3 linked regions of the Drosophila melanogaster genome follow. The protein of the gene in region 3 interacts with the protein of the main gene of each other region in a pairwise test. Each region holds a gene or a part of one and is shown on either strand. Other genes may lie near its edges.

Region 1 (5,277 bases), on a different chromosome or scaffold from region 3:
TTAAATTTATCGAATACAATCGATAATTGACTGCGGCGTTAGTTTGAAAGACTCTAAAGAAGAAGAAGAACATTTCGTTTCAAGTTTAAGAGTGTTATGTTTTGGTGGGAAAAATGACATTCTATCTGGAACACGTGCTCACTGGCGATCGGATTAACTTGAACGAGGGCATCCAAATTCTGGGGCGCCACTCCTCTTGCACCTGGGTATTGAAGTACGACTATATGTCGAGATATCATGCTCTTATTCACGTTAATCAGGGAGACATTTTCATTAAGGAGATGGTAAGATGCGTATTACGATGGTGCAACCGATGGTTATCGTTTATGCCTTCCGCAGGAAACCAATAATGGCATATTTCTTAACTATTGGCCGACGCGAATCGGCAGTTCTTGGTGCGAAGTAAACGTTGGCGACGTCCTGTACTTTGGGGTACAATTAGGCATCGAACACGATGGGGAGATACCGAATACGTTCGGAATATTCACCGTTAAATCATCTGGATAAAACATCGGAGAACTTTTCAGTTCCCATTAAACCGGGTGCTGAAATGCAAATGCCCCCATTTAACGACACAATCCCTTTTTGGGGCGTTAATTTTCCAAGTCCGATCCTAAGGATCCTGGATTCTGGATCCTAAGGACCAGAGTCATTGCTTACAAATCTACAAACCGACAATAACCACACACAGTGGCAGCTGAAAAAATACATAATAGGGAACAACTTTAGATATTCAATCCAATCAACTATACAATACAATATTCAATACAATCAACTAAGGGTATTTGCACATTTCCATATTCCAAATTGAAATATATATAGAGAAACAATGCAAGAAAATTGATCAAAAACATGAAATATCTAAGCAAAATAAAACTTTTCTTTTCTGACTTGCCGTATTGTAGTTGCTTAAACGTTGAACAGATTTTATACAATTTGAAGTTTGAAAGAAAAATGATAATGTATACTTACTATACCTCTACCTATTGTTTCTTGACTTGGCTGGTAATTATGCAAAAAGAGATCGAGCTACGTGTGCAGATTTGTGAAAGTTTCCTTATGACAACCGCCACAATATTATGTTGTAATGACCAGAAAGAATACAGAAAGACCCGGTCTAACGACCAAGTTGTCTTGCATTATATATGTAAGTTCAACGTTTTCCGAGTGGATATTTTTGGCGCACCCCATCTCAATTTTAACGCTTTCAGTGTCGACTGCCTCCCACTGACACCCCCACCCACTGACTAATTTGTCACTTTTGTTCTCGCCTCGCAGGGACTTTTGGAATATCTTGTACTTTTTTTGATTGTTTTTTTTTTTTTTTTTTTTTTGCTGGCAACCCTTTTTTCAAGGGCAATTTCGTATTCAAATGTTGTTTGACTCGGTGTCTGTCTCGCTTTCTCTCCATTTAGTTGCTAGTACGTGTTCGTTGTGACCTGCCCCGTTTTCCATTTTGCTCGCAGCCAGTACATTTGGACCACATCCCCCAACCGGGTAGCTCTCATTCGCACGTAATTAGCTGTTAATTTGGACTACCACTTGGCAACCGGGCGTGGAATTTACTTTGTAACTTCTCCCATGTTTCGGTGTGTGGCACCGAGCCGTTCATGGGGAAATTGGGAAAACGTTTGTTGATTTGGCCCACAGAAGACGATGGCATTCGTATGGTTTATTGGCTCTGGTTTTGCTTCACACCTATGCTTATGTTCAATTGGTATGATTTTACAAAGGTTGATTTGATTATACAATTGTTATTTTTAATTTGAGTAAACAATTGATATTTTGAATTTACATATCTATGTGTTTGGGTGCTTATCCTAGGAGGCTGTAAGGACTACATTTCCTGGCCTGCGACCACTTTGTCAACAAACGCCTGAAGCTCGGCTTGTCCCTCTGCGTCGGGGGCTGCCATGATCTTGTCGAGAATCTGCCAGTTAATGTGCTTATTCAATAGTCCCCGTTTGATGACAAAGGCGCGCATCATAATGTTGAAATAGCGAGCTCTCCAAGCGGAACGCAGTCGCGGAATGTAGATGCGATTGTTGACCATCTCGTTGTCGTCCACATCGTAGATGTCGACTTCGCTGCCCTTCTCCTCGACAGGCTGGTCCTGCTTCTTTGGAGCGATTTTCTTACGCTTCTTTGGCTTTGGCGGCAGGGGATTCGATTCCGGCTGTCGGTTGGCCAGCTTCGCCATCCATCTAGATTGCAGGTCGGCCAGCGCCAGGTACTCCTTGTGCGTTAGGTTTGGCACATCGCGGAATAGTCCCTCCATCATATCGATCATCACATCCTCCGGAAAGCTGCACGACTCCGGTATCCAGATGCCATCGGTGGGCAATATCTTGGCCATGGCAAAGCCAAAGCAATGTGGTTGAAATGACTGGTTCTCAATGTTATTGTTTTATGAGAGCTACGCTGCTTACGCCGATAGATTAAGCTTGCTATCGATCGATACAATTGATCATCGACTTACCGCAATGCATGGGAGGATTATAGAATGTTCACACTGATAACGATGTTATAAGCTATTAAATAAATTTATATAGATATATATTTATATATAACAATAATAATAATAACAATTTTACTCATGTGCATTTATAAATGGTAATATAATTTAAATTTTAAGTTATCTTGCAATCGAAAGGGGCTAGAATATTGGAAAAAAAGCCTTGCTTAAAGATTCTTTTAACTTAAACTACGACATCTTCCTGGCCGTTGGACAGCTTCCACCACCTGCAGTGCAGCCCCATGGCAGCCTTGCCATCCATCTGGTGAGCCAAGTAACCCCGGGAACCCAACTGACAAGCAAATTACTTGACCGGGGCCACCACCAACCACAAGTCAAGGTATGGCTGGCAACCGTTAACTTTGCAGCTAATTATAAATGAAATCCGATATCAAAAGGCACACTGGGACACGCCTTTGTGCAACACCCAGGCACCAGCACCCACTAACACACACGGGGGCTTGCCCCCTCCAACCCACGGCACACACACACACTGAACCAGCCGTCGAATACACAGACAATGTCAATTCATTTGGAGTTTTGGAAGTCCTGGTCTTGGAGTCCTACAGTCCTGGAGTCCTGGAGTCCTGGATTCCAACCGGCCGCCAGTCTGTGGTTCTCGGCAAACAAACAAATAATGAAAACAGCACAAAGGGGCTGGCATCGTGGTGTCATCGGCGGGTTAGGGGGTGTTGGGTTGGCGTATTGTGGGCGTGGACCGAGAACAAAGTGGAAAATTCATAAAATGTCATTGTCGCTTTATTAAAACGCGCCAAAAACCTTCACGATGCCCCACTCACCACTAGCAGCGCCATCTAACCCCCATTTCTAACACACAATTAAGCAGTGAAAACAATTTGGTATTGAAAACAATTTAAGTCTAATAAATTATTTCACATATGCGTTACATAATCTGAAATCGAATACAAATGTTTCTATTGTGGCAAGTTCAGTATTACTATGTATTACTATGCTATGTTATAATGTTTTAAAAACCTTAAGACAAAGCGATCATTTCAAATAGAAGTATTTTTTAGCGGTGCACCCACACATAGATGTCAATCGTGGTACAACGAAGGGGGTGTTTCCGAAGGGGTGGGGGGGTGTTTGGGGCTTCATGAGTGAGTGGGTGGGTGCTTTGGCAAATTGGGCGGACGGCGACGTTGTCTGCTTTGCCATCGACAGCTGTTGGCGTCATTTACAAAAGCTTTTTGGCCGTTTTATGGGATTTTGCAACAGTTTCATTTTCATTTTGCGCAGGGCGCACACACACACACACAAACACACACACACACTCATGAGCAGAATAAGGCTTGGGGAGGGGGGTGGAGTTTGGCGGGCATAATGCCGCCATTAGAAGTTGCCGCCAAGCACTTGCTAACGCCAAAAGATGATGATGAGCAGCAGCAAGAGCAATAGCAACAAGGACCATATGCCATATGTGTGTGTGTATGCAGTGGCATTCGCAGAAGGGATCTAAACTCGTATATTTAAGTACTACATTTAAGACAAGACATAAAGGTACCAGGATACTCTTTAAAACAAGATGATTGCCTGCTTTTGAACTTTCAAGACTTTGATTTGTAGCTATTATTTTCTAAAAGTGCAAATATCCCTTTCTAGACTTCAGTTACGAACCCCCTTTATCTTAGACCAGAGACACCCATGCATGTTACGCCGCAGTTGTATCTGTAGTTGTGCGATGTTGCGACAACGATAATAGCTTCAACGTTTGTTGATTCGTTTGCCGTCTATATATGTTAGTCTGCCTGCCTGGCCAAACCTACGATTTTATCACGCCCTAGACCCGCGAACCCCTAAAGTCACCGTCCATGCACCCGCACATAACCATTTTCCCTTGCCCATTTTCCCCAAGCGTCGTCATCGTCAGCGTCATATTTGAACTTTTAATATTGACGCCATTTAACACGTTCGGGTGGAAATTTTATAAATGACTCTGTCTGTCGTTGGCTGGCTCCCTACTATGAACCTCCTCCCTCTGTAACCACCTTGTAACCTCCTTGTAACCCTCAATAACCCGTGTAACCCCCCCAATAGCAAACGACAACCTTCGATCCCCAACGACGCGACAAGGAACAATGATGATAATGATAATGATAATGATAGTGCCGATGATGATGGCGATAGCGCTGATTATGCGGCTGATTTGGGCCGTGAGTAGTTTGGCTTGAAAATGCAGTTTATACGATAAATTACTCGACTATTTGTGGCCATAGGCATAGATTGAATTGAATCATAAATGGCATGGGCGATCAAAACTTTCGAGTCACTTGAATTGGTTACTAACTTAAAAAGAATGGCATAATAAATCGATAAAATCAAGAGTTTCGCTAATAATTGAGTATTTCAATAATATATATTTGGTGATCTTCTTGATTCGAATCCAGAACCAAGTTTCGTGTAGTCCTTGTTCAAACTGTCAATAGTCACTTGCGGCTTTTACGTTGGATTGTCTGCGAATTAGCTGGAGAGAGCAAATCACTTAAAGCGACCGCGCAGCTCAATCACGGCAACTCTAGGACTTTTGGGGCGGTACACTGGGACATTAGGACATCGAGACATCAGGACATCGGGACATCAGGACATCGGGACATCAGGACATCGGGACATCAGGACACGACAGTGGAGTCACTATCGAATGTCAGGAGTGTGTGGCATCTTATAAATCGATATGAGTGTCTGTTGCACAGACAGCGAGACTGAGACTGAAGTTCGATCGTTACTGCCGTCGACAAGAGTGC
Region 2 (9,450 bases), on a different chromosome or scaffold from region 3:
GAATGATACACACACGCTTTCTGTAATATGATTAATCGATTGTCAGAAGGAATAATTAAACCCGCTAAAAAATATGCAATGAAAATATGTTCTTCAGATTGTATCTTTACAATTGTTCCATACATTATGATAAGATTCTTTTGAGAATGGTGTGAGCCCACAATAAAGATTTTATTTACCCATCTGTTGCGATATCGAACTTTGATAGATTCTTATCTTGGATATAAGGCGTGTGTCGTATTGTAGCCACAGAATGTTACACACATCACCATCAGGAACTGAAATATTTACCTTATGAAACTCAATCGAATACTATTTTCATATTCGTTACTCATAGGGTAAAAGTATATATACTAGATTTGTTAAAGTACATTTATATAGTAAAGTATATATTCTTGATCAGGGTCAATATTGGAATCGATCTGGCCGTGTCCGTCCGTGTAGAGGTTGAGATCCAAGTTTGGCCAATTTCTATCGGTACAGCAAAAGAACTTTGGCCACGCACCTTCTAACCGCCCACACTTTTAAATTTTTTGTATATTTTTTTAAATTTTATTATTTGCCAATTTCTGGCGGGAACTAACCGAATCTGGATCTGGGCTATGGGATTTTTCCGTTCATATGAAAGTCTCGATCTTAGGCACTATAAAAGCTAGAAAGTTAAGGTTAAGCATGCAGATTCCACAGACATAGACGAAACTTATTTTCGATAACCCTGGTTGTTAAGCTTACCATAACGCCCAAAGCTGCCACGCCCACAGTTTTAAAGATAATGTTGAAATTTTTCATTTTGTATGAATTTGTATTTAAGTTTGTTGTTTTGATAATGTATTTTATAAGACTTGCAAGCATTGGGATTAAAATGGACATTTTTGAAAAGAAAATACGCTGAACATTTCTAATCAAACTAGTTCTAAGGCACAGACTAGTATGAGTATACTAGAAATGCCAAGAAAAAGGCCACAGACTGGACTCCCATGGCATAAATATGTCCCATCCTTCAAAAGCGCTGGGTGTTTTATCCTCTATTGCTTACCTATTCTATTATGGTGTCACACGTGATTAATATGGTTATGGGTGTTGTCACATTAGAGAGTAATTACTTCCTGCTCAAACTTATAAGCAAACTTATCGAGGTGACCCCGCACTCAAGCCAATCAATTCGATTCCCATTCGACCTGTATGATATTAGTGGCTTTGAAGGCGATTGATGCGATGACATGTGTATAATTAACTTCTTCGATATAGTCCCTTGCCATGGACAATAACTAAAATGGTGTCCGTGGGGATTGGCTTGGCCCTTAAACGTCAAGTTGTTGGCACAGACTTGCATTCCCCTTAGGGAAAAGTGGACACAACTCGCCAGCGAACTAGCAATATATTATATATCCCTATACGAATCTATTAGTCTACTTAAACCCAGTGCTATACTAACAAACATATACAAACTATAACTGGGTTACTCCGCGGTTTTCTAACCCATTGAGATGCCTTACAAATTCACCTTTGTGGCTTGAACCGAGCTATTGTGGCTTATCGAAACCTGTTAGTTAGGCTTCACTTTTGCTCACTCAATCGACTTCACTACAAAAAGACGATTAAGCATTACCAACCACACTATCACTGGCACTTAACTGGGATCTCGAAAAGATTTTTTTGGTTCGATTACTGGCAAATGAAATGTACTAAATTAATATTTTAACTATGCTATGTTACATATATCATGAGCATGAGAAACTCTTTAAATCTCAAAACCATTTTAAATAGGGTTTTGATTTGTATCAGTAATAAATGTTCTATAGAAAACGTAAGAAGTTATGTCTGTGAAAGGATGTTTTCATAACTAACATATTTATTAAGTATTAAGTATATAGATAATATATAAATAAGATATACATATGTAAGAACTAAAAATGCCACACTTTTACTATACTTAGGTTACAATGAATCCTAAAATGGATTGGAAATATACAAGGGTCATAATTTAAAAAATTAGATCTATGATATAAGGACTTTTTCGAACTTATAGGTCCTATTGCTGTAAACCTTTGCTTAAAGAACATTTTCGTGCCTCGGAATCTAAACATCATAAGTTACCAACGTGATTTTATATTAGCAGTAGAAAATTATTTCTTGACATGAGGGCAATGATACCATACATCAGGACTGATTCGAGAGTCAAGTGCCCAATAGGAGTACATACTCATGCGAAGAAGTACCTCCATATCGTGGTAAGCACCGAGGAAGCTCGCCGAGGACGATGTTCATGGGTGATTCATTTTCGATTGCCGAAATCAGAGTTCCGATTCGTGGTGACTCGTCTGGGAACAATTTGTATAGGAATCTTGATAAGGGCTCCAGCAATAGTTATCCGCAGCTCGTTAAACGCAATCGAGATCTACGTCAGGATTGTTAGAATATTGGAACACGCAGCGATAGCTACATTTACGGTGCCTTGCAAATTGGACGATAAGAGTTCGGATCGGTACAATCATTACCGGCAGTCCTCCCACTTCGTGGATCACTGTATCTGGAACTACAACTGGAACTTGTCCGGGTTTATCTTATCGTAGCCGATGCGTGGTCCGCTTCGTCAGGAGCACCGACGGCTAGTGGTTAGGGCTAGAGGTGCCGGTAACTAGCAGCGGCTAGAGCCCACAAGATAGCACTGAGCAGCGACGTCGGCGTCGACGCCACGGATGTGGATGTGTTGGGTGGGTGGGCCATAGTTCAGTCGTGAGTTGCGTTGCGTTGCGTGCGGTCAGAGGCTCTGCCGACAGTTGGGAACCCGGTCTGGAGTCAAGAGCCCAGTGTTTTGATCAGAGCAGTGCGAATTCGGTAAATAAATAATCCCGTGGTAGCCGAGGGTCTGAAATTATGCAAATTGCCTGGGTGCAAGTAGCACTAAGTGTGGCAAGCAGCTTAGCCCATAGTTTAGGACGATAGCCCAACTATGTATCTTCGATACTTTGTCATCGCCCGCGATAAGATATCATCCGACCCAGCCCGGTATCCGATCCACAGGTTTTCGGGGCACTGCTAACCCGGATAGATAAAGCTTTGCTTGCCACTATCACTCCCCGAACAAACGCCATTAGCCGCGTGTAAACACGAGTGTTGGGCTTCGTTTGATGGCTCCGCCAATGGACAGACCAGACCATAGGTGCTAGAGGTCGGGCAGACAGTGCCCAGCCTATCCCGCATATGTGTCTATGTGTCAGATAGACACTATTAATCAATGTGACGCAGCCCCAGCCCGGGGTTGAGTCAGAGCACCTGCTCCACCCTCAATCCTAACGTGGCACCCCGTTTGGGGACTTACCACTTGCCACTTTGACAAACGAGCCGTCTACTCCCTCTCATCCAAACCAAATCCCCGCGCTTACAGGCTTTCCTATCAGCATTGATAAGGCAAACTATTGACGGAGCAAGTTCGTCCGTGGAATGGCGACGCTCAGTGCGGCGCGTAGGCAAAAGGCAAAGTGCCCGCGCCGTTAAGAATGGAAATGTTTGTGCGGATCCCATATGGGCACGCATCATCGGAAAGAAACATCTGGCGCACTTCGGGAATGCCAAGTTCAATTGAGCCCCTGACGGCCACTGGGTGAAATGCCTCCAGTGCATTTCCAACATTGCTCTGTAGGTTGCAATTACGACCTGCAATTGATTCGCCCTAATCGCTGTAATTACATCTATTACCGAATCAATTAAACAAATGTTCTGCAAGTGTGGTGTTTCGAAAATCTTTCCCACACCCAACTAGGGAATCCTATAAGTTCAACGCCAGAATAGAAGGTATCAATCCAAAATTTCTTCAACTAAAAGGAAGTCAAAATAATATATCCTTAGGGTCACTAGAAATCGGATAGAAGTTAATTGATAAGCAAAACTTTGACTTTAATGGATACCTTGGAATGCAGATAATAGGTGCAGATACTTTTTCTATACTTATATTTTGGTTTCAATAGATTACGCTATCGTAGGTTTGGCTGTGAAATTTTTTTATGAATCATGAAAATGGCAAATACTATACAGTGCGCATATCAAATATGTAGGAAATGCTGCATCCCTTCAAAAACTATTAATAAAAACAGGATTATTTATAATACATTGTCGTTTTATTTGTGTAAATACCATAAGCATCAAGGTCAAAATTATGAATTCGTAACCAATTATCTCAGCAGATAGATAGCTGTTGTTTTTTTTTAATTAAACAATATGTTCTTAAGGAGATTTACTTAAAATATATTTGTGTGAAATATTTCATTTAGCTGCGCCAATGAGGGTTATTTAATTCAGTTTTTTGGGGATGATACATTTGATCTGTGTACAAAATAACTCTAAGAGGAGGTGAATTATATATTTAATTGAGCGTGTCCGATACAATATGGCATCATGTTGCTGCTGGGCACGCAAAGTAATTAATTCCAAAGATAATCAGTGGCAGAGTATCATGCTCGCAAAGGAACAGCAAAGTCTTATCCGATTGTTTTTCGCACTGCAGTTGCCAAATTGATGCCCATCGACATGGATATACCAAAGGAAGCGGAGTCGAACGACAAGTTCATAGTAAAGTATCGCCAGCAGTATTACGATTTGTCCAGGTTTATGCACAAGCATCCGGGAGGCATAAACACACTCAAAGGTCTCAACAGCGGGGACATGACAGCTCGCTTCCTAAAGGCGCCGCCACATTCGGATGCGGCCATGTACTTGATGAGGGAGTACAAAATCGATCCAGAGGACTCTCGGAAACCAAAGTCGAGCCAAAGGGAAACGTTGCATCACGATGAAGATGGGACTTTGCGACAACGGCCCAGGGAAACGGAGGACAAGAACAATAACCAGGTGGACGATAGTATGGAGGTAAGTTGGATGAGCGGTTTTTAATCTGTAACTCTAGTTGCTGGTCGACTGGATCGCACGTTAAGTTGGTCACAATGCTATCGGGGCGGGGTAGGTCTGCGATCCAAATCTCAGCTAAAAAATATATTATTAACGTAAGGCATGGTTGAAAGGAACACGCGTGTTTTGCAAATCCAAGATTCCAGTAGCTCGCTCGGTCAGTCAGTCGATGGAATGCTTTAATGTTTTTGGGAGCTATGTAGCATGAGTTCTCACAACTGTCGCGACTTGCTGGCCAGCACGAAGACCTTTGCCTTGGAGTATATGCGGATGTCCTCCTCCACGGTGGTCAGCTCCTTGTCGATCTCCGCCTTGCGGTTGCGCACCCTCAACGTCTGTGCAGTCATGGGCATGTGGTTCAGTTCATTAACCAGCTGTTCGTAGCCTGTTAAGATTCGTTAGCAAGGGTCAAACTTATAGTAGTAACATTAACTCACGTTTCTTAGCATTAGTGAGGTGCGTCAGTCGGTCCTGATCGCTGAGCAACACATGGCCACGCGGACAGTCGGGATCCAGCGATTCCGCAAGCTGCTTGGCCACCGCCTTCTCGCGCTTCTGCTTTTCCAGGTAACGCGGCAAGCGCACCTCATCTCGGGCTGTCAAAAAGTACAAATTCATGACTAGTTCAAATCAAATCAGGAGGGAATATAAGATATTTAAAATAGAGAATAATTATAGATTATATATGAAATAATTATCAAAGATATTTAATTTTGTCATTACTGTCGCTGACAATTGGTAAACAAGGGATAAACTCACATCCTAGTTTATGCTCACGACGCTTTGACTTAGAGCTTATGGTGGTGACATTGGAGGCCGTTGTGAAACGACTACGGGCACTGAGTGGAGCCTCGTCGTCTGAGGCGCCGTAGTTTGCAGGTTCGGCCTCGGTCATGGGCATAGCCTCCATTTCGGACATGTTGAAGCGACTCTGCTTCGAGGAGTTCGAACGCGCCGAAAGCGGCAACTGTTCCAAATCTTCCTCGTTTTCATATTGCATGGGTTTGTAGTTTTCCCCGTATTTTGCACCGGATTCCTCCAGTATAGATCTGGCATCAAAGTTACATCTGCGGATAAGATAAACCTTTGTGAAAACCTTCGAGTTTGGTGCAAAAAGTCATACTTCTTCAGAGCATTTGTTAGATAGAGTTCGTCGGTAATGTCCTCAGTTTGGATGGCTATGCTGGTGGAGCTCCGATTCGTGCCACACGATTGACAGCGATCAATGTCTGTATCCGACGAAGGCTCTTGGAGATTCTCGGATTCTAAGTTCTCCGACGGGTCATATAAGATGGGATTGCGCTCCTCCAGGCCATCGAAGCGTTCCCCCTCCGCCGGAACGGCCACGGCCAGTTGGTGCTGTGAGCGAGAGGTGCTGCGGCCATTTTGCAACGAGTTCTGTTTTATAGTTTTGCCCTTAGCTGCTGGTTTCTCCGCCTTCGAGTCTCCCATCACGGAGGAAGAGCGTCGCAGCGGGGGCATCCATTTCGGGCGCGTCGGCTCCTTAGCGGCCAACTTCTGGCTGGTGGACTTTTCCAGCGAGCGCAGGCTCACCTTGTTTTCCTTGAGGAAGTTTCGGGACTGTGTGACGCCTGTGGGAACGGAGACCAAAACAAATTACCAACTGGTTGCCATGGCCAAGCGGCTGTTTGGAAAAGAAATCTTACGCGGCACCGAAAAGATGCCCTTTAACGTTGGAATCGGGCGAACTGAAGTATTCGACATGTTCCACCTACTCCCGAACTATAACTAGACGGCTGGGGCTCCAGAAATGTGATCTCGACTACGACAAGTGGAAACTGCGTCGTTGTGTGAAGTAAGGCACAGGTTCAAATGACAATTTTGAACCAGCTGCTTGTGATTGTACCTGCTCATCGATGCCCGATAACATTATATATCGGTTCGGTGCTGACCCGCGGCTGGCCACATTCGAGCCAACTAACGGTTTATGGGATGTCCTAGTGTTTAAGTAAATATTAAATAAAAAAGCAAGTAGAAATCAAGTGAAATTCTTACTATTCTGTAATTATAGTAAAGTTAAAATAAAATAAATAAAAAAATATAAAATAAAATAAAAACTCTGCACAGCTTCTAATTTTAAATATTTAATTTTCAAAGGTAATTAACCAAACCAATTTATGGTAATACATACTGTATTAATTTATTGACTAACCTATTGTAAATTCATGAATTCCAGCACCTAGTGGACTGGTCTAAGGCAATGCTTCCGCAGATAGCTAACATAACGGATTGCTACGATGAGTGGGTTCACAAGCCGGTGGACAGGCCACTGCGTCTCTTTGACCCTTGGTACTTGGAGATGTGCACCAAGACGCCCTGGTGGCTGGTGCCCCTGTTCTGGATACCAGTGATCGTGAAATGCGCCGTGGAGGAGTTCACCACCGCCTGGCAGGATAGCAACCAGGTGAGTAGTCGCGCAATCTTCGCATTCTTGGATACGATCTTCTAAAAGTATCTTCTTTCTGCAGCTGGCTGTGTTCTCCGGTTACTTTTTATTTGGCGTGCTCCTGTGGTCTTTCCTGGAGTACACACTGCACCGCTGGGTGTTCCACGTGAAGCTGAGCAACAAGAGCGGAAGTTGGCTATGCACCTTCCACTTCATGATCCATGGCCTGCACCACAAGGTGCCCTTCGATCCGATGCGACTGGTGTTTCCGCCCCTTCCCGGCGCAGTGCTCGCCGCGGTCATCTACACCCCGCTCAGCTTTGTCCTGTCCCATCCGCGAGTGATCTTGTCTGGAGCTCTGGCCGGCTATCTGTGCTACGATATGATGCACTACTACCTGCACTATGGGAACCCTTCGCTATGGGCCTTTGTACACATGAAGCGCTATCATCACCACCACCACTTCTCGCACCAAACTCTCGGTTACGGCATCAGCAGTCCCTTGTGGGATGTCGTCTTCAAAACGAGAATCCATCTCCGCAAGCTGAGATACCAACTGCGCTGGTCCTAGCTGCAATAAATGGCTAATACAGTGCTACTATAGAACAAATTACATTCAGTTTTCAACGCAACAGAGTTGCTGCCGCAGCAAATAGTTCAATCAAATCGGAAATTTGGTTTTTAGCCTATTTGTGTAGGCTGAATACTGAGCATTAGGCTTAAGAATTATTTGTAAGACTTTTACCAATTTCTATTAAACAGGAATACACTTCCAATGATACCAAAGAACAAATGGAAAATCCTTTTTGAAAACAGAAAACTGGGCAATCAAAGGAACTATTGGAACTATTTTGGAACTATTTTGGGGAAAAACAAAAAATTTTCGGCAATTTTATGATGCGTCACCAAAGTTTACATTAGAAGTTTGGTACCTTACCTATATATGAGAGGGAATACTTTGATTAACTTTTAATTCCTTTGGTAAATGCCTTATCATCACTCTGGAGCGTTTAAATATTTTTGTTTAAAATCGAATAAATAAAGAAGCAGACAGACGGTTTGTATGAACACTTTCATTTACCTATTTCATACAAATCTGGTACAATCAGTTCAAGTTTGTTTAATAATTAATATTATATTATTAAAATTAGCTTAAGATAATTGTTTAAGACCTGTCTTAAGTGGAATTTCTCATTGGCGTTGCTTGGTCACACTACCAAGAATCCAGCGAAAGTTTTGTTTATTTTTTTGGGTCCCAATTTCTCCTGCTGGAATAATGCTAAATGCCAAGATCGGGAAGGTCGGCAAGGTACTGGTGTGCGGGATGAAGGGCGTGGGCAAGACGGCGCTGATAGAGCAGCTGGTCTACGGCCACGTCAATCCCGAAACGGTGAGAATGCCTTTGGCAGAGCTCAAAGTAAAGCTGATGTCTCATATCCCGGAGTTCATTGCAGGAACTGCATCCAACCATTGAGGATATCTACGTGGCCAGCGTGGATACAGGCAGGGGCGGAGCCCGAGAGACCCTGCGCATCTACGACACGGCCGGATTGCAGGGCGAGCAGCAGCAGCTGCCACGCCACTACCTTCAGTTTCCAGATGCATTCGTTCTGGTCTACGATCCCATGGATCCGCGCAGCCTTGACATGCTGGCCGACATCAAGGCTGACATTGAGAAGCACAAGGAGAAGAAGGAGATTCCCGTTGTGGTGCTGGCCAACGTGAGGGCACGAGCAGCCCCAAATCCCGTCGAGAAGGTCATGGACCGCGCCAACATCTGGTGCCAGCGAGAGCGCATAAAGCACTACACGGTGAACGCCATGGAGCGTCCCTCCCTCTACGAGCCATTCACCACGCTCTGCGCCCGGCTGCACCCAATGCAGACGAAGAGCACGTTCCCTCAGCTGCGCCAAGTTATGCAGAACCGGCAGAAGAGCGAGGCTTAGCTGTTTTGAACGGACGAAAGGGAAGAGATATAATTTAAGTTTTATTCGGGAGTGTCCCAATAATCTCCGATACTTAACAGTAGCTATGAATGCCACAGATTTGGCTTTAAGTTCAAGAGATCCTTGGGATCTCCCCAATCGTACTCGTATTGATCCATTTAGAGTCTACTTGCCTTGTATTAACTGTTGTGC
Region 3 (5,217 bases):
TTGGGACGGATCAAAATTGCAACAATTTCAAGGCATTTAAACAGTTGTCACATACACACCCACTCACACACAACCAAAGGAAGTGGGCCGGAAGTGAGCTCGAAAACGGAAGCAGCCCACAACACATGAAATTGGCTTAGGGAAGGAAGTGGGAGGCAGGCTAAGGGGAAGGGACTTTATTTGTTGCCTGCCACACTTCGGTTGCTTGTTTGTCGGCGTCGTCCTCGTCGATACTAATCTAATTTTATTGATATTGACACAATTTCTGCAGATTTCCGCATAAACATAAAAACAGAGCTCGAACCTTGGAGCTTCGGCTCAAGTAGCAAAACAGTCAAGGCACGCAAACAAATGGTATCTAATAAAAATTGAACAAAAAGCAAACAAAAGTTCGATGATGCGGCCGCCATTGGATGGAAGTCAAACAATACTGAAGTGCTCGGCGGCCATTTCCGTTTGCAAATGGAGAACACAAGAAATATCAGTCTAGGCAATACTGTATTATAGAAGTTTGAAAAACAATTCATAGAATAGTGTAACTTGTATATAGCAAATAGATTTTCTTAACATAATAATAATCGTACTCATTTTATTTCATTGTGAAAAATTTAAAATCACATTTTAAGGTGTGTAGATATTATTAAGCTTAACGTTCATTTTATATTATATCAAGCAAATCTAAGTCCAAGTGAAAATTCCCAAAATTAATCGCTTTGTATTTGCCCAAGATAAGGTAACATTAATTTCGGGTATTACCCACTTGAAAATTTACAATCCAATTGATAACTAATACAGATTTTTATTGATACGGATTTTAGCTTTCTGCTTGATAAGCCAACCAGTTTCGGAAACTTAATCGTTTGACACGGGAAGGTAAACGTAGTTAGTAGATTTCTTGTAGAAAAAAAACCATTTAAACTCTAATTTCCCCTACCAGGTGGGACTAAGCTTCGTCGGTACGGAGAGCGGCTGGTGGTGCTTCATTTGGCTCACCCGATGGCTGCCAGGTTGGGCAGGATGTGGGCTGGATCAAGGCCATTTTCTAATATTTTTAACAATAATAAAAAAACGTTCTAAAATTCTTGGTATTTTCTTGTATGGAATGAATAAAAAGGTTCCTTATTACGTAATTAATACTCAAAATATTTGTTTTAGATAAGAAAAAGATAAGGGTATGTCCAACATAAAAAACATAATCAGTTACAATTCAGATTGCGCTGTTGGGTTCATTCCTATAGCCGCTCAAAAATAGGCAATGCTTTTTAGGAATATGAAAACTGGACTGCGTGGCTTTACGGCTAATAAAACACACCGGACTGGTTCTTGATCCAATCCAGATAGCTGGTGACGCGGGTGAAACCAGCAGGCGCATTTTTCTCACATCCCTTGGAGGACACAAACGAGGTCACACCAATTAGTCTATTGTTCAAAGCCAACGGACCGCCAGAATCGCCCTGACAGGTCGACTTCTTGTTGATGGACTCCACGCAGATAACTCCACTGGTGACCACAGATGACCCAAAGGTCTTCTGACACACAGCATTGGTAATGACCTGAAATTGTGCGTATTGAAGGTTCGTGGCGACGGCAATGCTGGAATCGGAGGTCCTGCCCCATCCGGAAGCCACTGCAGTCTGTCCGGCGTAGGTGGAGTAGCTGCTGGCGATGGCGGGCAGGGCAATCTTATTTATGGAAACCGTAAAAGTGACGGATGGAGTCTTGATCAGGGAGATGTCGTTGCGCAAAGTAGCCGCATTGTAGCCGGCATGCTGCACAAACTTGGAGCTGGAGACCTTTTTCTTCAGTTTGGCACTAGTGCGAACGGTGGACCCATAGTAGATGGTCACGGAAGAGGCTCTAACAGAATAAATCTTAAATCGATTATCGATTTTTTAAAAAAATTACTCACCCTTTGGTGCAATGAGCAGCAGTTAGTACCCATGTATTCGCTATTATTGAACCACCGCACCACCAACTGCCAGCCGAGCTTTTAAAACTGAGTCCCACCTGGTAGGGAAACTGGTTAGCAGCTGCCTTGTTTCCATTGGTAATGCGACCATCTATGGACGGAACAGCTGAGCTATCACGGGGATGTACTGGAGTGTCCTGGCGCAGGATATCAGCAGAAACTGTGGCAATTGCCAAGACCAAGACAGCAAAAACCTTCATCTGGATCGAATACACTTTAAAGAGTGAGCAATTTCTGGTATTAAGGATCATTTTATATTGTCTTTGAAATCAGCAGCGAAACAACAGAATTGTAAATCTTTAACCATTAAATAGGCTTAAAAAGGTCTTAAAACCACTGTACCTTACATCATTATGGCAATATTGCTTCCAATTTACCAAGAATTAAATAAAATAAAAGCAAATGTTTGCTTTGGAATCTTTTTATAAAGTCCTATTCTTTATGGCTTACTCTTTAAGTTACAACGTAAATAGGCAGTTAAGATAAAGAAATATTGATAAGTAATAAATAATTGTTTTTAACCAAGCAAATCCCAACTAGCAAAACAAAAGCACAAAAGTGGTAATGCTACCAAAGTAATTATCTTTTATTCGCACAATTTGAAAGTCCCTAATTTGTGATGAAGAAATAAATGCCAGTAGCTACATTAATATCTTATCAAATAGAAAAATTTTACAAAAGCGCCATATAATAAACTTAAAAAAATTTTTGCGACACTTAATCAGAACATTTAAGTGGACTTGCCCAGCCATCTATGCAGATAAGATTTCTCAGTCTGGGTATAAAAGAGGCCGTGTTGGAAAGGGAAAATCACTCATAGTTTGAGCAACCATCAGCATGAAGGTTTTCGTAGTTTTGGTTCTGGCTCTGGCCTCCGCCTCCGCTGGGCTCCTGCCCAATATTGCCCCTGTACATCCCCGTGACAGGGTCTCGACCCCATCCATCACCGGTCGCATCACCAACGGCAAGGACGCCGTTGCCGGCCAGTTCCCCTACCAGGTGGGACTTAGTTTCTCCAGCTCTGCTGGCAGTTGGTGGTGCGGTGGCTCCATCATCGGAAACGAGTGGGTGCTGACTGCTGCTCACTGTACCGACGGGTAAGTGCATTTTCCGTCCTTCAAGACCAGGTCTAATGAGAGTATTTCCAATATAGTGCCGCCTCCGTGACCATCTACTACGGTGCCACTGTCCGTACTAGCCCCGAGTTCACCCAAGTCGTCAGCAGCTCAAAGTTTAGGCAGCACGAAAGCTACCTGGCTTTGACCATCCGCAACGACATCTCCCTGATCCAGACTTCGTCCGTGTCCTTCTCGGCTACCGTGAACAAGATCAGCCTGCCCGCCGTCTCCAACAGCTACTCCACCTACGAGGGAAAGACCGCTGTTGCCTCCGGATGGGGTCTCACCTCCGACCAAGCCACCGCCGTGTCTCGCGATCTGCAGTACGTGGACCTTACCATCATCTCCAACTCCAAATGCCAGGAAACCTTCGGAAGCCTGATCGTGACCAGCAGGGTCCTCTGCGTTGACACCACCAACAAGGCCTCCACCTGCCAGGGTGATTCCGGCGGCCCATTGGCTCTCGATGGTGTCCTCATCGGTGCCACCTCCTTTGGATCCGCTGATGGTTGCGAGTCTGGCGCACCAGCTGCTTTCACCCGTATCACTTACTATCGCGATTGGATCAAGGAAACTTCCGGTATCTAAGTGTTGAAGTATGAAATATGAAAACTGCAAAATATTATAAATAAAACTGTAATCATGATTTTACACATGTTAGACTTTTAAATAATGTCTAGAGATTGAGATCTACTCTCTTACCGTTTAATGAATCAGATTTCATAATAACTCTTATAGACTAACTTAATACACTTCTGGCTTTTGATATCGCCAAAGTGGGTACTTTATGATCGGTGACGAAATCGGGGCCTTGGATTGTAAAACCCCACAGCCATTCAACTCCAGGAAAATTATCAATGGCCTTTCATGTGTCGAAATGCAGGCGAAGGTGTGCAGTAAATTAAACAAATAATAAACTAAGCGTTGATAAAACGACAGTCAATAAATACAGAGACCCCGACCCAGACATTCTGGCCAATGTTGGGGGCTAAGACTGAAATCGTGCAATTGAGGACCCGGGAAAATGGGGGGTTCGAAAGCAATTAAGGAAACTGCAGTATGCCAAAGGGAGACGAAGGCCTAGCCTAAGCAACATAATCGCCAAAACGTGCGGCAATTACACGGTAGCTGGAGGAATTGAATGCCAAACATCTGCTGCTCCTCCCGTCTCCGTATAATTTGCACTCGGCCCAAGCAAATTCAATTAACAAACGATGCGGACACGTGCCGCATCCAAGTCGATGACGCAATGTCGATGCCACAATCGCTGACTATAAAAACACCAGCAAATACAACAACAAGCCCAGTACTTCACGTGAAGAGCCCACTCAGACCTGAACTTGGACTAACTCATTACGAGGAACATCAGCTATATATATAATATATGTAAATAAAAAGGCAATTCATTCATAAATTTCATTCAACATAATGAATAGAGTTTCCTATTCACATATTTAAGGGGGGGGGGGGGGCGGGGGGTATTCTATGAATTTGGTCAGAAAAAGGAAATATTACATTTAAAAGATATAGTATAGAATGCAATAACAGGTATTCCCCATATTATTTTTTCAATTCCGTAGTGATAAAATGGCGCAATACCAGGCTACAAGTGCTTTCTTCCTGCTACTTCTATCATCCACACTAGTTAAATCAAGTGAGCCTTGGCTAGATACTTTTGAGCACCCCAAAGAGGAGACACCGGACGATGACGATGCAATCATGGAAAGACGTTGGCAGCTTGGCTACGAAAACTTTCGACTTCGCTGCGAAAAATTCGAGATGGAAGGTAATCAAACCGCTGCTGTGAGAACTCGAATAGCTGGAGGAGAATTGGCCACGCGCGGCATGTTTCCCTATCAAGTGGGTCTGGTGATTCAGCTGAGTGGCGCAGATCTGGTCAAGTGCGGTGGTTCCCTTATCACTCTTCAATTTGTTTTGACTGCAGCCCATTGTCTGACCGATGCCATAGCTGCAAAGATATACACGGGCGCCACCGTATTTGCCGATGTAGAAGACTCCGTGGAGGAGTTACAAGTCACGCATAGAGATTTCATTATTTATCCTGATTACTTGGGATTTGGAGGATATAGTGACTTGGCTTTAATACGACTGCCAAGAAAAGTCAGAACT

Evidence for each region.
Region 1: the proteins of yip7 (region 3) and moon interact in a two-hybrid assay, tested with the Drosophila melanogaster proteins (one large-scale study listed by BioGRID).
Region 2: the proteins of yip7 (region 3) and Fa2h interact in a two-hybrid assay, tested with the Drosophila melanogaster proteins (one large-scale study listed by BioGRID).

Annotation. Positions count from the first base shown.
Region 1 is NC_004354.4:12,070,375-12,075,651, forward strand, and holds moon (moonshiner), read right to left. Parts: upstream 2,445-5,277; 5' UTR 2,357-2,444; coding exon 1,838-2,356; 3' UTR 1,634-1,837; downstream 1-1,633. Other genes in the region: CG34323 (uncharacterized protein), read left to right, coding at 114-284, 340-507.
Region 2 is NT_033778.4:7,444,834-7,454,283, reverse strand, and holds Fa2h (fatty acid 2-hydroxylase), read left to right. Parts: upstream 1-2,730; 5' UTR 2,731-2,838; intron 2,839-4,288; exon of another isoform or gene 4,289-4,504; 5' UTR 4,505-4,515; coding exon 4,516-4,866; exon of another isoform or gene 4,867-5,117; coding exon of another isoform or gene 5,118-5,290; intron 5,291-5,342; coding exon of another isoform or gene 5,343-5,501; intron 5,502-5,664; coding exon of another isoform or gene 5,665-5,972; intron 5,973-6,028; coding exon of another isoform or gene 6,029-6,497; intron 6,498-6,572; coding exon of another isoform or gene 6,573-6,630; exon of another isoform or gene 6,631-6,811; intron 6,812-7,102; coding exon 7,103-7,330; intron 7,331-7,394; coding exon 7,395-7,883; 3' UTR 7,884-8,095; downstream 8,096-9,450. Other genes in the region: CG11125 (uncharacterized protein), read right to left, coding at 5,118-5,290, 5,343-5,501, 5,665-5,972, 6,029-6,497, 6,573-6,630; kappaB-Ras, read left to right, coding at 8,589-8,702, 8,767-9,258.
Region 3 is NT_037436.4:6,032,437-6,037,653, forward strand, and holds yip7 (yippee interacting protein 7), read left to right. Parts: upstream 1-2,779; 5' UTR 2,780-2,806; coding exon 2,807-3,066; intron 3,067-3,122; coding exon 3,123-3,675; 3' UTR 3,676-3,739; downstream 3,740-5,217. Other genes in the region: CG10477 (uncharacterized protein), read right to left, coding at 1,299-1,857, 1,910-2,169; CG6462 (uncharacterized protein), read left to right, coding at 4,675-5,217.